Danio rerio: one gene and its partner. The protein of the gene in region 1 purifies or fractionates together with the protein of each later gene. This does not show direct contact. Links are inferred from orthologs where the notes say so. Each region holds a gene or a part of one and is shown on either strand. Other genes may lie near its edges.

The links.
Region 2: the proteins of cops4 (region 1) and dtl purify together in Homo sapiens (affinity purification with mass spectrometry; 3 studies listed by BioGRID). This does not show direct contact. The link is inferred for Danio rerio from reciprocal best matches to the Homo sapiens genes COPS4 and DTL.

The regions. Positions count from the first base shown.
Region 1 is NC_133185.1:12,011,004-12,018,611, reverse strand, and holds the start of cops4 (COP9 signalosome complex subunit 4), read right to left. Parts: upstream 4,238-7,608; 5' UTR 4,170-4,237; coding exon 4,096-4,169; exon of another isoform or gene 2,119-4,095; intron 1,876-2,118; exon of another isoform or gene 1,846-1,875; coding exon 1,766-1,845; intron 977-1,765; coding exon 825-976; intron 196-824; coding exon 92-195; intron 1-91. UniProt on the Homo sapiens protein: Component of the COP9 signalosome complex (CSN), a complex involved in various cellular and developmental processes.
Region 2 is NC_133195.1:14,399,931-14,407,076, forward strand, and holds part of dtl (denticleless protein homolog), read left to right. Parts: intron 1-835; coding exon 836-939; intron 940-1,213; coding exon 1,214-1,318; intron 1,319-1,689; coding exon 1,690-1,802; intron 1,803-2,034; coding exon 2,035-2,124; intron 2,125-2,225; coding exon 2,226-2,364; exon of another isoform or gene 2,365-2,396; intron 2,397-6,353; exon of another isoform or gene 6,354-6,493; coding exon 6,494-7,071; intron 7,072-7,146. UniProt on the Homo sapiens protein: Substrate-specific adapter of a DCX (DDB1-CUL4-X-box) E3 ubiquitin-protein ligase complex required for cell cycle control, DNA damage response and translesion DNA synthesis.

The sequences.
Region 1 (7,608 bases):
AAAACATGATTAGAAAATCCAAACTCACGACCAGCAGTACTGGGCGACATGTTGGCTGCATTGGTTTAATCCAAGAGAAAAGCAAGCTTACTTTTGACCCGTCTCCAGTGGGATCCCCACAAGAACCTGTGCAGCGTTCCTCCAGTCCTCCTGCTTCTCATAGATTGTGGCTAAATGCTGTCTGATGGATGCCACCTGAAAGAGTGAGACGTCGACTGTAACTTTCTGTCGTACACCACACATACCAAAAAGGTACCATTGGTACCCTTTTGGCAGTGGAAACGCAAGCCTGATAAAGGTGTCCCTTAGCATACCCCTCAGTGGAAACGGGCCATAAGAAAACATCCTCATAAACAAAACATGTGCATGCAAATTATTACAACACGTGCAAATACAGAAACATGCTGCAAATAGTACCAATCACAATGGAAATAAAATAGTGACGAGTACATCCTGACTAGTCACAGGTGTTGTCAGAAATCTGGGATCATAACTTTTTGGGATCCCAGACACATTTCTATTGTGATTGGCACTATTTGCATCATGTGTATTGTCAAACCAATGAAGATGTTTTCGCAGTTTGTATGTGTTCTTCTATTTGTATGTGTTTTCTTAACTTTCATCATCTTTGAGGTCTTTCAGCCACCGTAGGACAATCTACCTGCAGTGAATTTATTCTAGGTTTCAATGGCTGAGGAGAATAAATCAGACAGTTTTCCCACCAGTGGCAAAAATAGCCATTATTTAATTATTTAGTTGCAGAAGCATCAAATTTGGTTCCACATGTGAGTAATTTGTTTGCATTGTAGAGGGCTGAAACCCACCTGTTCTTCAAAAGAGATGACTCTGGGCTGGATCTTCTCCAGGGTGAAGTGACACACAACTTTCGCTATGTCGTCTGGAAGATTTGGAAGGTGCGCGCAGAAGTCTGTCAGAAGCTGTCTGGATATGACCAGGCTGACATTCTCATTGACCACTATTCAAGAGACAAGGGAAATTATGAAATAAGTCATTGTAGAGACTAAAACGCCATAAAAGAGCCACACAAACTAAACGTTCTCATTTATAACTGATTTTCTTCAATATTCACTCAATGGCCCTTTTGTTATGAGCACCTGTTCATCTGCTTGCTTTTGCAGAAATTTAATCAGCCAATCATATGGCAGTACATCACTCAATGTAGATTTAATAAAGATGATCTGCTGAAGTTCAAACAAAGCGTCAGAATAAAGAAGAAAACCGATTAAAGTGACTTTAAGGCTTTTTTTAGAGAGAAAACCCCCCTCACCCAGACTGATGTTTTTACTGGGTGTCAGAGCGTGACAGTTCAAAATCACTGGGCATGCACATATTTAGCCAGCATTAATTCTTGTTGTACACCAGTTGCGTATTAGGCATATAATAGGGAATGATACGCAGTAGAGTAGAAGACCAGTCAGAGATCGATTGTTGATAGCCACATCTCCGTTTTCAGCATTTCAGTCCATTTATTGTAAATTAAACAAAACCTTCAAATCTCAACAGAGATTTACATAATGAACATGCAGGCAGCAAGTCAGCATCATCTGTGTGATACAGTCCTGTAAATATGGACCAAAAATTCTGAGAAATAATATGAGATCCTTGCTAAAACTATTCTAAGCCATGAGAACGAGCAGTTCTGAAATCAAAATGGGTCTAACCAGTAACAGCAAGGTGTAATTAGTAAAGAGGCAAGTGAATGTTTATAATCAGAATATTAGTACTTGAATACTAGTATACTTACTCGCTTCAACAAATGCTTTCAGTGCTTCAAGTTGTTCTGCATCAGTAAACTGTAGAGCCTTTTCTAATATTTGACGATATCTGTGAAAACAGGGAGGACAAAGATTATAGCTACAAAAATTATACTATACTTGTGTTGACATTACTGGATGATAATGATGACTGGATTTATATTGTACTGTATAAAGTGATAAATATATCAAATGCAGCTTTAAATGCTTGTTAAGGTGAATTCTTAGTGGCTGTCAATCAACAGTTCTACATCCCCATTCACAATGTTGCCACGGTCATATGACCTAAACTTGAACTTCATCTTCAGAATATATGTAAATCATCATTATTTAAGCAAACCACAGTAACCACAAATCAACTATGGATTTTGACACCAATTTAAATCTATTCCTGGTGTTTATTTGTGGTTAAGTCTTGTTTATACAAATGCTAATCATCAGTGTACCAAAAAAATGCTTAATACACTTTTACTATAATATAGTCATGATCAATTTCATATGGGCTGTGTGACTTGTGTCGCTCCACTACTATTCACAAATCCTCTCCTGTGGCCTAGTGAGACAGAAAAGTTTTGATTCGACACACACCTCAGAATCTCAGCATACAAAGCATGTTATTCTGGTCCTTTTTGCATAGGGGACAGCGGGGATGAAAGTAACATTTTGCATATAAACCTAACTCTAAAAAGATAATGTTTTTAGCGGAAATATATATTTTGCTGAGGTTACCAACTCATAAGAGTGATCAATCAAAATCAGGTGTTATTTTGTATAATGTAGAACAACACCAATATAACGTCACTTTACACAAAAGTTGCACAGCTACTTTTGACAGGAACGAAAAAAAACTCACAGGTGAGTCAAAAGTAACACAACAATATTTGCTAGATTTACCGGCTTAATCGTGTTTATTTTAAATATATCTGACCAGTGGTGTAAAGTAACAAATCACCAATACTCAAATTACTGTGAGTAACTTTTCTCAGAAATTGTAATTTACCAAGTAATTTAAAAAATATGTACTTTTGATTTTTCAGTACTCATTCCACCACTGTATCTGACTTTGACCTTGTTAATGTTAACTGCAGGCATATTTTGTCCTTTATTTTTGCAAAAAAAATATTAAACTGCACCTTAATTTTTAATTTTACTTCCATAAAATGTTTCAAAAGCAATCAAACAATGCAAAATGTTATATTTTCTTAAAATTTTTGAATATTTTATTATTATTATTGGCAATCTGCATTAATCTTATAAAACAGTCAAGAGTCAAAACACTGAAAACTAATATGGAAGTGAAAAAGTGCAGAGGGACATAAATAACAGTGTTACTTTCATCCCTACAGTAAACCTAATTTACCTTTTAAACTGCAAAACTCAGACATTTCAAAATCAAGGAATTGTTATTGCACTAAAGAACCTGCAGATTGATCATTACGGTGATGCATGAAAAGAGAAATACAACAAACCACTACAATAATTTACATTTTGCACTTTCAAACAGAAATTTAGAGCTCATTGCAGGACACGGCCCCAAAATTGTATATTTAGCAGTTTCATTAAGGGTTGCATGCTGCTAAATGTGTTGTTATAGCCTGTAAATCAAATGTTTTCAGGGCTTCGAGAAAATCACTTTGTTACTTTTGTCCCACGTTTCTTTTATTCCTGCTCTCCCCTACTGTTTTTTTTTAAATACAATGAACTATTACTGTCTATTCAACTTTTTCTTTTCGCCTAATATAAAAGTCTACATATTCAGACACACATTTTAATAATGCTGAGGGTAAGGCTTGTTCATCCTATAAAATTTGATTGGACAAAAACGTAGACACGCCCCTAAATGCAAGATGAGTCATCAGTATTTTGGTTTTAAAAAACAAACGGTTTTTTTTCAAATGTCATTGTCAAATGACAACTATATTGTCAACTTTTAGGTCTACGTTTGGATATACAATATCTCAAACCAAAATTACTGAACCAAACGATTTGATTTAATGGGGTCTTAAATTCTGTAGGCTAACTGTATTTGCATTAACGTACTCCTCCTATCGTTTTCAAATTATATTAGTCAATTCACAAAGACATTTGCATACAAATATGCTAATGATTCTAATAGCTTTTACTATTTATAACTTGTATGATTGTTATTGATGTAGGCATGTTGACAGGTAGATCCTCAGTATTACACACGCTTGCTAATGTTAGCCTGTAGTCATATCATTTGCAGTATCACAGACCTTTATATAGAAAATCACACAATAACACCCAAATGCAAAAGACATACAGTAACGATATTAGCAAATGACTTGAAACCACATACTTCCCAGCTAGATCTTTATGAGAGCCACTAGAGTTCATCAGCTGTGCGAGCTCCTGCCTCACGCCGGACGCCATTTTCCTCCGCACTTAAACAGCGAAACCTGCGGGCCAGCAGAGGGCGCCACACAACACAGAGAACCGACGACAACTGAACAACACACTAGAGGGCGGTAAAGTCTATGTGGGATACAGCTGCGGATAGCATCATTTTTGTGACACTAATTAATATTTTACATAACTGTGAGATGGGCATTAATAAAATACAATTCAATGGGTAATTTAATAAATATTATGAGTAATAATTGGTATAATGACAGTTTTTTACATTATAATGGTATAATTACTGTTTTACATAACTTTATTGATTGAGTTTAGGGTTAGGGGGGATAGGCATTAATAAAATACAGTTCAATGGGTAATTTGATAAATATTATGAATAATGCTTGATATAATTATTGTTTTTACATTACTTTGATGTTTGTATTTAGGGTTAGGTAGGTGTTGACATTAATAAAATACAATTTAATTGGTAATTTAATAAATATTATGAGTAATACTTGGTATAATTACTGTTTCACATAACTTTATTGGTTGGGTTTAGGGTTAGATAGGGGTAGACGTTAATAAAATACAGTTTAATGGGTAATTTAATGAATAATATGGGTAATACGTGGTGTTTTACCATCACTTTGATGCTTGAGTTTAGGAATGGGGTAGGTGTTAATAAAATACAATTTAACTGGGGATTTTAATAAATAATTCTTGTTAATCAAATCTTGTGCATCAAATGTGTGTGTGTGTGTGTGTGTGTGTGTGTGTGTGTGTGTGTGTGTGTGTGTGCAACATTTTATTTATTATTATTATTAATGTGAACATAAATGTGAACATAAATTAATTTATTATATCAATTTGTTTGTCAAAATTTTATTTAATTAATTTTAATTGTAAATGTCTAAAATTCATCAATACAAATAGGTGCAACACACCCATTGGGGGGTTTAGACATAATATTAGTAGTAATATTAATTGAATAATGATGAATTAATAATTGATAAAATAAATTACACCTAGTTAATATTCTAAAGACAACATAAAAACTGAACCTTTAGTAACTGAACCTCTAAGAAATCTTTCTCAGACATCTTCGTGTTTTTAGTTTCAGATATTTTATTATTACTCTGAGCTCAACAGCCTCCTGATGAGATTTTATATATAGTAAGGATCAATAAAGATCTGCCTCCTTCACTCTTCCCTGCAGTAACTCTATAATATAATTAATTAATTCATTAATTTTTTTTCGGCTTAGTCCCTTCATTCATCAGGAGTTGCCACAGCGGAATGAACTGCCAACTTACCAAGCATATGTTTTACACAGCTGATGCCCTGTCAGCTGCAACCCAGTTCTGGCAAATATCTAAACACACTCGTTCACACTCATACACTATAGCCACACATATGTAATATAATATAATATAATATAATATAATATAATATAATATAATATAATATAATATAATATAATATAATATAATATAATATAATATAATATAATATAAAGGTGTCACGGGGGCACAGTTGACAGCACAATAGCCTTACAGCAAGTAGGTTGCTGGTTCGAGCCTTGGCTGGGTCAGTTGACATTTTTTGTGTGGAGTTTACATGTTCTCTCCGTGTTGGCGTGGGTTTTTTTTCGGGTGCTCCAGTTTCCCCCACAGTCCAAATACGTTCTGTGGGTGAATTGGTCGTGGTGTATGGGTGTGACTGCAAGAGTGTGTGGGTGTTTCCCAGTGTTGGGTTGCGGCTAAAGAGCATCTGCTGCGTAAAACATATGCTGGATAAGTTGGCGATTCATTCCGCTGTGGCCACCTTAGATTAATAAAACGTGAATGAATAATAAAAAATAAATGAATTCAATTCAATTCAATTCAGCTTTATTTGTATAGCGCTTTTACAATGTAGATTGTGTCAAAGCAGCTTCACATAAATGGTCATAGTAACTGGAACAGTGTGGTTCAGGTTTTAGTGTAATAGAAAATTTACAATAATATAATATAATATAATATAATATAATATAATATAATATAATATAATATAATATAATATAATATATAAAAATATATAAATAGATATGTGGCGCAGTGGGTAGCAAAATCGCCTTACAGCAAGAAAGTTGCTGGTTTGAGCCTCGGCTGGGTCAGTTCTAAAATAATTATCATAATATTCCAAGTAAAAATCCATTCTTTTGCTTTTTTATTGAAGAGTTGAATAATGAAAATTCAAATGAATTAGTTAATTAGAAAACTAATTTTAGACGCAAAATTCTAAAATTAATTAATTGTAATATGTATTAAAATTATTAATATAAACACTTTAAAGACACTTGAAGAGTGTTCTCTTACAATTCCCAAATTTGTAAACTTTTGTTGTTGTAAACATTTTGTAATGTACAAATAATTCATTTAAATAACTAAGAAAATTGTGCAATTCAGATAACGATTTAGATAAACAGGAAAAATAACAATTATGAACATCAGTAAAAATATATATTTTTAATTATGCGCAATGCAAAAATTACAGTCATGGTACATACAAAGAATAAAGTTAGAAGCAAAACAATAATATACAAAGGAGCTACATTCATAAAGCACTACTGGGATAATAATAAACAATTTAAAAACTTCAGTTGTTTTAACGTCATTTTTGTCACAGAATTAGAATTAGTCTTAAAATAATGTTGCATTTCAGTAGGAAAAATATAAAAGAAGAGTTTCTGGTTTGTAAATTTGCATTTGTGTATATGAAATATTAAGAATACAACAGTAAAAAATCTGCGCGGAAGTTGTGTTGTGACGTCATGTGTTGTTTCCTACGAAGGCGTGGTTTGATTATGGGATGTTAGAGGTGAAATGGCGCTCGGCGCGGTATTTTAAACAATCGTCTTCGTCTGAGAGCGGATGATCGACAGGATGCAGCCCCGAGTTGGACCGAGCAGGTCGTGATCGAGCAGAAAACGTTGTGGATTTCAGAAGAGCGTCTCGACACTCATCTCGACCCCGTGTAGGAGTGCTTTGGGCTCGGGTGGGTGTTCAGCGAGGGGCAATATGATCTCCGCTAGTTAGCAGAGCTGCTAACACTGTATGTATATATATGTGTGAGTGTGTATGTGCGCGTCAGCTGATGTCCGTCCGCGAACTGCCTCAACCGCGCGTCACACACACAGCTGCGCTCGCGAATAATCGCTGCTAATAATTGCTCATCTTCTGCAACATAGACAAAACTCATATGAAGCTTTATAAAGGGCTGATGCGTTGCAGGAGTTAATAGTGGCTAACTGATTAGCACCCTAGGCTTTACCTGCCAGAGAATGACAGCAAGCTGCGCCTGTCATTTTAGTCTTGCGGAGAGCTGTTGCTTAGCAAAATTATTAAATGTCTGTAAATATAGAGAGGTTTTCATTTCTTGTATGCGTGTAATAGTACATCTATTTGTATCATTAATTAAAACATCAGGAATT
Region 2 (7,146 bases), on another chromosome or scaffold:
GCTACCCTCAAGCAGACGGTTCCGCAGCATCCGGTCACGCACTAGCCGGCTGAAGGAAAGTTTCTTCTTTCAGGCTGATGAACACTTAAGACAGCCCACACAGACTTTTCCATACCCCTTACTGCACACCATCAATATGTAGTTTGCACTGCACTTTAACTAATCCATACTTGAAACAATACTGAATACAACTATGTGAACACCTATTCATTGTACATATCGGTATAACAAATTAATTTATTAATTTTTTTTTTTTTTTTTGAGGAGCATGCTGTTGAATTTAGCACTTTTGTGTATTTGCACTGTCTGTCTTTTGCACTGTAATTTTTTTTTGCACTGTCTGTTAATTGCACTATCGTTGAATTTGCACTGTATTGTGTACTGTCTGGGGCCAGCACCTTTTCACTCATCATAGCACACGTGCTGCTGATGATGTGACAATAAAAGTGATTTGATTTAATGCAAAACCTTGCATAACAAATCTGGTAGTTTCACATAAACTGAGTATTTCCAGGTGGTCTCTTATTTCTTACCATAGCTGTATATAAATCACAATCTAATTGCTTGTCTTATAAATTATTGGCATGTGACTACTTTTTTTTATAAAAATGGCACAAGCTATGTTTGAGTTGGCCATAGTTCATTGTTTCACTCTGTCATTATATTAAAGTCATCATGATACAGAAGTTAAGATGGTCCTTTTTTTCCCTTTTTACGAAAGGGTACCAAAAGGTGTTATGATCTGTGTGTTAGTCTAGCTGTAGAAATGCATCCTGTATTGTGCTAAACTGTACCGCTCTTGAAAATGGGTAATAACATTCTGACCTTGTCTTAGGATCATTAAAATGTGGGATTTGCGGAGGAACTATACTGCATACCACCAGAACCCCCTGCCTCTACAGGCCTATCCTTACCCAGGGTCCTGCACGCGCAAACTAGGTACACATCTCATAGCCCACTGTTACTAATGAGAATTCATATTATCAAATAAAAATCTTATATTGTTTTATTTATTTAATTAATATTTTTTTTTATTTATTGGAACTCTTATCTTTTTATTGTTTTTTTATTATAGAAAAGTGATTTCTATAAAATGTCATAAATTGTATCTATTTTTTGCTATGACATAGCCAGAGAAGCTGAGATGGCAATAATCTCTCTCTGTAGTATTATTGCTAATTTTCCTTTTCATGATCCTGTTTTTCTTCTGCAGGTTATTCTGGTCTTTCACTGGACTACACTGGATCTAGACTCTTCTCTAACTGCACAGATGACAATATCTACATGTTTAATATCAGTGGGCTGAAAACCACTCCAGGTACATATGAATTGTAATAAGTGTTCAGTTTGTTTGTTTTTAAGTGTAAATTGTTATTTTTTATTTTTTTAACTAATCAGTTTTTATCTGGAGTGTGGGATAGTGTTATGATGATATCATAGTTGTTTTAATGATGTGTGAGCAAACATAGAATTTCTCAAAGTCTAAAGAGTACAATATAAAAGCACTAATTTCAGCAGGTCGGAATTGATTTCTTTTTTCAAAATATGATAACTTTAATTTATTATGCACTTAAGACTGTTTTTTTTTTTTTTTTTTTTACTTCTATTGTTTCGTTGGTATAAAAAATCCCCAAAATAATTGAATTATGTAGGTGAAGCATGTTTCTGAACTAATTCTCTTTTTCACAGTCGCTGTGTTCAGTGGTCACAGTAACTCCTCATTTTACGTGAAGTCCACTGTGAGTCCAGATGACCAGTTCCTGGCTAGTGGATCCAGTGATCATAACGTTTACATATGGAAGGTCAGGAGTTCTCCATGCACTCACCCGCAAAATTCCCTCATTCTCAAATATATTTCTCAAAAATATATATATACATTTTCAAGAAGAGCTATTCAAATGATTCATTTGATTTTGTTACAAAGTAAGCTCCCCATCCCTCCAGTAACATACAGCCCCAGATCTAGATGTAAAAGTAGAAGATCAGAAGTTATGTAGCAACGGTGACACATGATTTTGTTTACTTTTGATCCAGATTTCAGATCCAAAACAAGCTCCCATGATGCTTCAGGGCCACAGCCAAGAGGTCACATCCGTGGCCTGGTGTCCTACCGATTTCACCAAGGCTAGTATCTGTAATTGCGGCAAACAAATAAATACTGGTTAAGAATTGTGCACAGCCTCTAAAGGCTTATATTAGTTTAAAACTCATAACTCTTCCTGCAGATTGCATCCTGCTCTGATGATAACACTGTTAGGATCTGGCGTCTTAACCGCAAACCAGAAGGAGAAAACTCAACAATCCAAGATGGAAACCTTGTAGGCTGGACGATTCGTAAAGTCCAGTCACCAAACAGAACACCTGGTAGAGTTCTCTTCTCTTTAAAATCTGGTTTAGTGTTTTTGTATTTTAAAGATCACATTCCTGTGTGCTGAATGTTCAGCTTCACTGCCGTAGTTTTTAGTGTCACACAATCCTTTAGCAATCATGCTTATATGTCAACTTGCTGCTTTAGTCGTTATTGCTAATGATTTACTATTGATGTTAATATTAATTTGCTGCTTGTTTGTGCTGCTTGTTTGTGAAAGGGATCTGGATTCTTTGAACAAATTTTAAAAAGGCATTTGTTTGAAATAGAGAGCTTTTATAAAATTATAAATGTATTTTGCACCAATCATCATTTTATTGGGATAGTATTAATTTCATATTTTTATTACAAAAATGTTACTATTTAATATATTTATTGACGGCAAAAAATTAAATAGTAAAAACTGATCCTAATATGAATCATTCAATGCAAATACAGTATAAATATGATTTAATTGTTTATTTAATTTGCTAAAAACATTGTTTTTCTACAGAGGTATGTATAGAGATTATTTAATTTCTATAGATCTCTACAGAGATAGTCTTCCTCAATTTAAATGAAAATTAAATACATTTCCTACAAATACAGTTGGTGAGAGTTATAGTTTTAATATATATATATATATATATATATATATATATATAGATAGATATATATATATATATATATATATATATATATATATATATATATATATATATATATGTATATATATATATATATATATATATATATATATATATATATATATATATATATATATATATATATATATATATATATATATATATGTATATGTATATATGTATATATATATATATATGTATATATGTATATATATAGATATATATATGTATATATATATATATATATATATATATATATATATATATATATATGTATATATGTATATATATAGATATATATATGTATATATATATATATATATATATATATATATATATATATATATATATATATATATATATATATAGATATATATATAGATATATAGATACTTTTAATTGATTCACAAAAGTAATTGCTTAAACTCTGAAGTTAAAAAATAGGTAGTGCTGGACGATTTGGCCTAAATTCAAATTATCGATTAATTAGACTTTATAATTTAATTATGGTTAATGAATGACAATTTTATTCATTTTATTTTTTAGGCCACATAGTTCACTGAAAAGTAAACCTGGGCTTTAATTTTCTTTTTATTTTTTTTATTTTTTTTTTTTGATTAATTTGAATTTACGTTTTGACGACGATTTAATTTTATATTAAATTGAAAAATCGAATTATTTTAATATTTTTTGTTTTTTTTTGTTTTTTTATATAAAAATATTTGATACATCATAATGGCACCAATGCGCTTTGGTTCACTTTCTGTATGAAGCAGGTCGCACACCAGAAGCGCCGCGCAGCGCCATGGATTTTAGAATTCTAAACATAAGTTTCTATAAACAAACCGGCGCCGCCCAGCCACGATTCAGGACGCAGTTCATATTTTAGCCGTGCCACAGATCGCCATCTGATTAGTTTCATGTTAAGTATCATGCAAATGTGCGCGTCTTGTGTGTGATACTTTAAACTGTCATGTGCGCGCCGTGTCGCGTCGCTTCTGGTGTGCAACCTGCTTGACTGTCTGTCTGTCTGAATTTCACTCATGGTAGTGATGGACTGGACAGCCTAATTCAACCTAAAGCATGAAGTTGTGGGCAAGCATCGCAGAGTTAGTGCAAATACAACGAATACAAGCATTTAAGTGTCTTCAGTTGTGTATTTTTCTTTTATTAATACCTTTGCATGAAACATGCTCTGGTCCACTCTCTCACGCTTCTCCAGCACTTCCTGAAGAGGGGATTTACATTCAGACTAGTGCAACAAGTGTAATCCTACATGACATCACGCTTTACTTAGTCACGTCTGTGTGGATTGCTAAGACATTCCCTCATCAAGTCGTTAAACTCAATCTCCCAACATGTATGAAGGATGTAAAAACCAGCTATGTAAAAAACTGTGCCGATCTTAGTTCAAACCGCGCTGATCTTAGTTTGGTTTGAACACGAGCAGAGGTGAGCAGCCGTAGCAGTAAAAGTGAAAGTACCCGCCCTCATGACGCCATTTAGTGGACCTAGTTGAAAACCAGACAGATCAGGCAGCATAATACAGAGAGTGGTACAAAGCGCATCAAATGATCGATATTTAAAAGGGGGGAAAAAATAGATTAAATATATTATTTTATATTAGACACACATCTGGTGCTTTTTATTTGCTCCTGCTATACGTTCACAACTTCACACATTGGGTTAAATTAGGCTTTACAGTTCAGTCCTTTACTTCCACTGTATCTTTTTAAGAAAAAGGCAGCAGCATTACAACCTGTCATTCAATCAGAAGCAAAAAGTCAAAGTCGAGCTGACAGCCAATCTTTCCTAGGCTCAACAAAACTTGCAAATAATACCTTTGTATTCCTGCAACTGCAATATTTACACATTTTTTATTTAAATCTTCTGCAACAATATTTAACTCGTGAATTTGTTTTACATTTATTTACACCTTGTTGACCAATTTATGTATGGCATGGCCATTAAAAATACAATGTTCTTTAATGGGATGGATTTTCAAGTTACTTATAAAGACAATGTTTCTTCAGTCATGTTGTTATAATGTTTTAAGTTGACTAGTTACACAATAAAAAAAAAATTGAAATCGTGAATCGGTCAAACTTTATTAAAAAAATTAAGATTTTTTGTTTTTTTTTGTTTTTGCCATATCGCTCAGCCCTACTGACAAGTTTTGTTCAGTAATTATGCTTGCATATTACCAGTGAAAGATTTTTGAGTAAAGGTTGCATTATTGATTTTAAAATAATAGAAGGCAATCTTCTTGCTGTAAGGCGACAGTGCTAATCACTGAGCCACCACACCGTCTCTGTATAATTATTTATTGAACATCAATGCTAAACGACTGAAATTAGAACACACATTGCCTAAAACCAACAGTTACTTTTTTCTTATAAAAAAGTGAAAATAACTAACTTTTAATATAGATTTTATTTTCAGTGTTTTTTCATACTAAAAGTAGAAAATTAGCAGTATCTCTTTTAAAAAAAAATAAATATTGTATATCCTGTAAATAATATTTTATGCAGTGCATTTCTTGCAACTTCTATAAACAATTTTAATATAAATTATAATTTAAATGTAATGGAAAATATGCCATTTCAAAGCATCTCTGGCGCAGCTTACAATCATAATTAATGTAGTGAAAAGTAAGACTAAAGAATAGGTCCATCGTCCTACTTAATCAGAGATTAAATGTGGTTAAAAAGTGGCCACAAAAGTATAAATAAAGGCTTAACATAGGAGGTTCACGTGACTCCACATGCGGAAGGGAAAGTAATTGAAAAAGATTGAAAAGCCTATAGATTGAAAACAGGTTCTGAATGTTGATTATTTCGATGAGTTTTTGTTTAATTGCCCAGCTCTAAACAGGTATTATGAATATATGTTTGAAAGTCACACTTAATTTTAAATTAAACAAATATAAACAGTACTTTACTATGTATGACATTATTTCTCCTTAAATTAAGGACTATAATTTGTTTTTTACGAGGCCTCTAATCCTTCTAGCTTTATATCATTGATAAAGAAAATAGAAAAAAGACATTAAGCATTTTAGCACTCCTTTTGAACAAGTAAAAGTTGCATTAGTAAACAAAAAAATCTTTCTACAAAAAAACTGAGCCTAACACAGGTGAGTGGGCTTGACAAACCACCTGTAGAGAACACTTTCATCTCTGACACCTGCACCAGTTTTGCACAAGACTCTTTCAATCTCTTAATAATAAAATAAAAACAGTGTGCAGAAACGCTTATAAAAAAACTCTCCCTTACTTACTCAAGCACTTAATCTCTGAGTGCTAATCATTCCTTTGTATAATTAGCACTTGTGTGTATTTTCTCTTGTTATATCGCAGGATGTTTCTTCAATTGTAAGCTAAATGTAAAATCTTAATCACCAACTTGACTGAATCCTAAAACAATTTATAAACACACAATCACCAATATTCTCTTATTTCTTGTTAAATTGGTGTTAATGAGTCCTTTGTTTCCCCAGGCCATCACAGCCCAGTTGAGCTCACTCCATCCAAAAATCCTGGATCGGTGAGGTCTGTTTCGCTGGCTTCACCCCAGCCTGCCACCTGTGCCCCTACAGGTGCCGCTTTACCCCTCCCATCAAACACCTCTTCTGCACCTCCAGCCAAGCTCACCAGCCCCAAAATGCCATCATCCCTTCAACAATGGATCAGCCGCAGCAGCAAATCTCCTGTTCGAAAAGCCCTCACACCTGTTCTCCAGGGTCTGTCCTTCGAACACCGTGTCAAACGCCGACTGGAGACGGGCGATTCTGCCAGCTCTGGTTTGGGAGAGGAGATCGACGGTGTGTCTGAACTTTATCCCAATGTCAAGAGGAGTAGGAGTTCAGTAAGCACACTCAAGAAAGAGGACTCGTTTGGTTTGGAAAGTGAGAAGAGGCTAGGCTCGGATGGTGCAGAGGCCTCTGGGAAGGAGAACAGCTCTCCCAGGAGGACTGATTGGCTTTCTGTGATCAGCCAGAAGTTTAAAGGGTCGGCTCAGCCTAAGAGCCCCAGCAGTGGCAGCAGTCAGCAGGATACAAGAACACTAGAATCTCCAGTGAGTACATATAAATACTTTCATTTTATGCTTTATACTACTGCTTATTAATAAATTGCATACGATTGTTGTGCA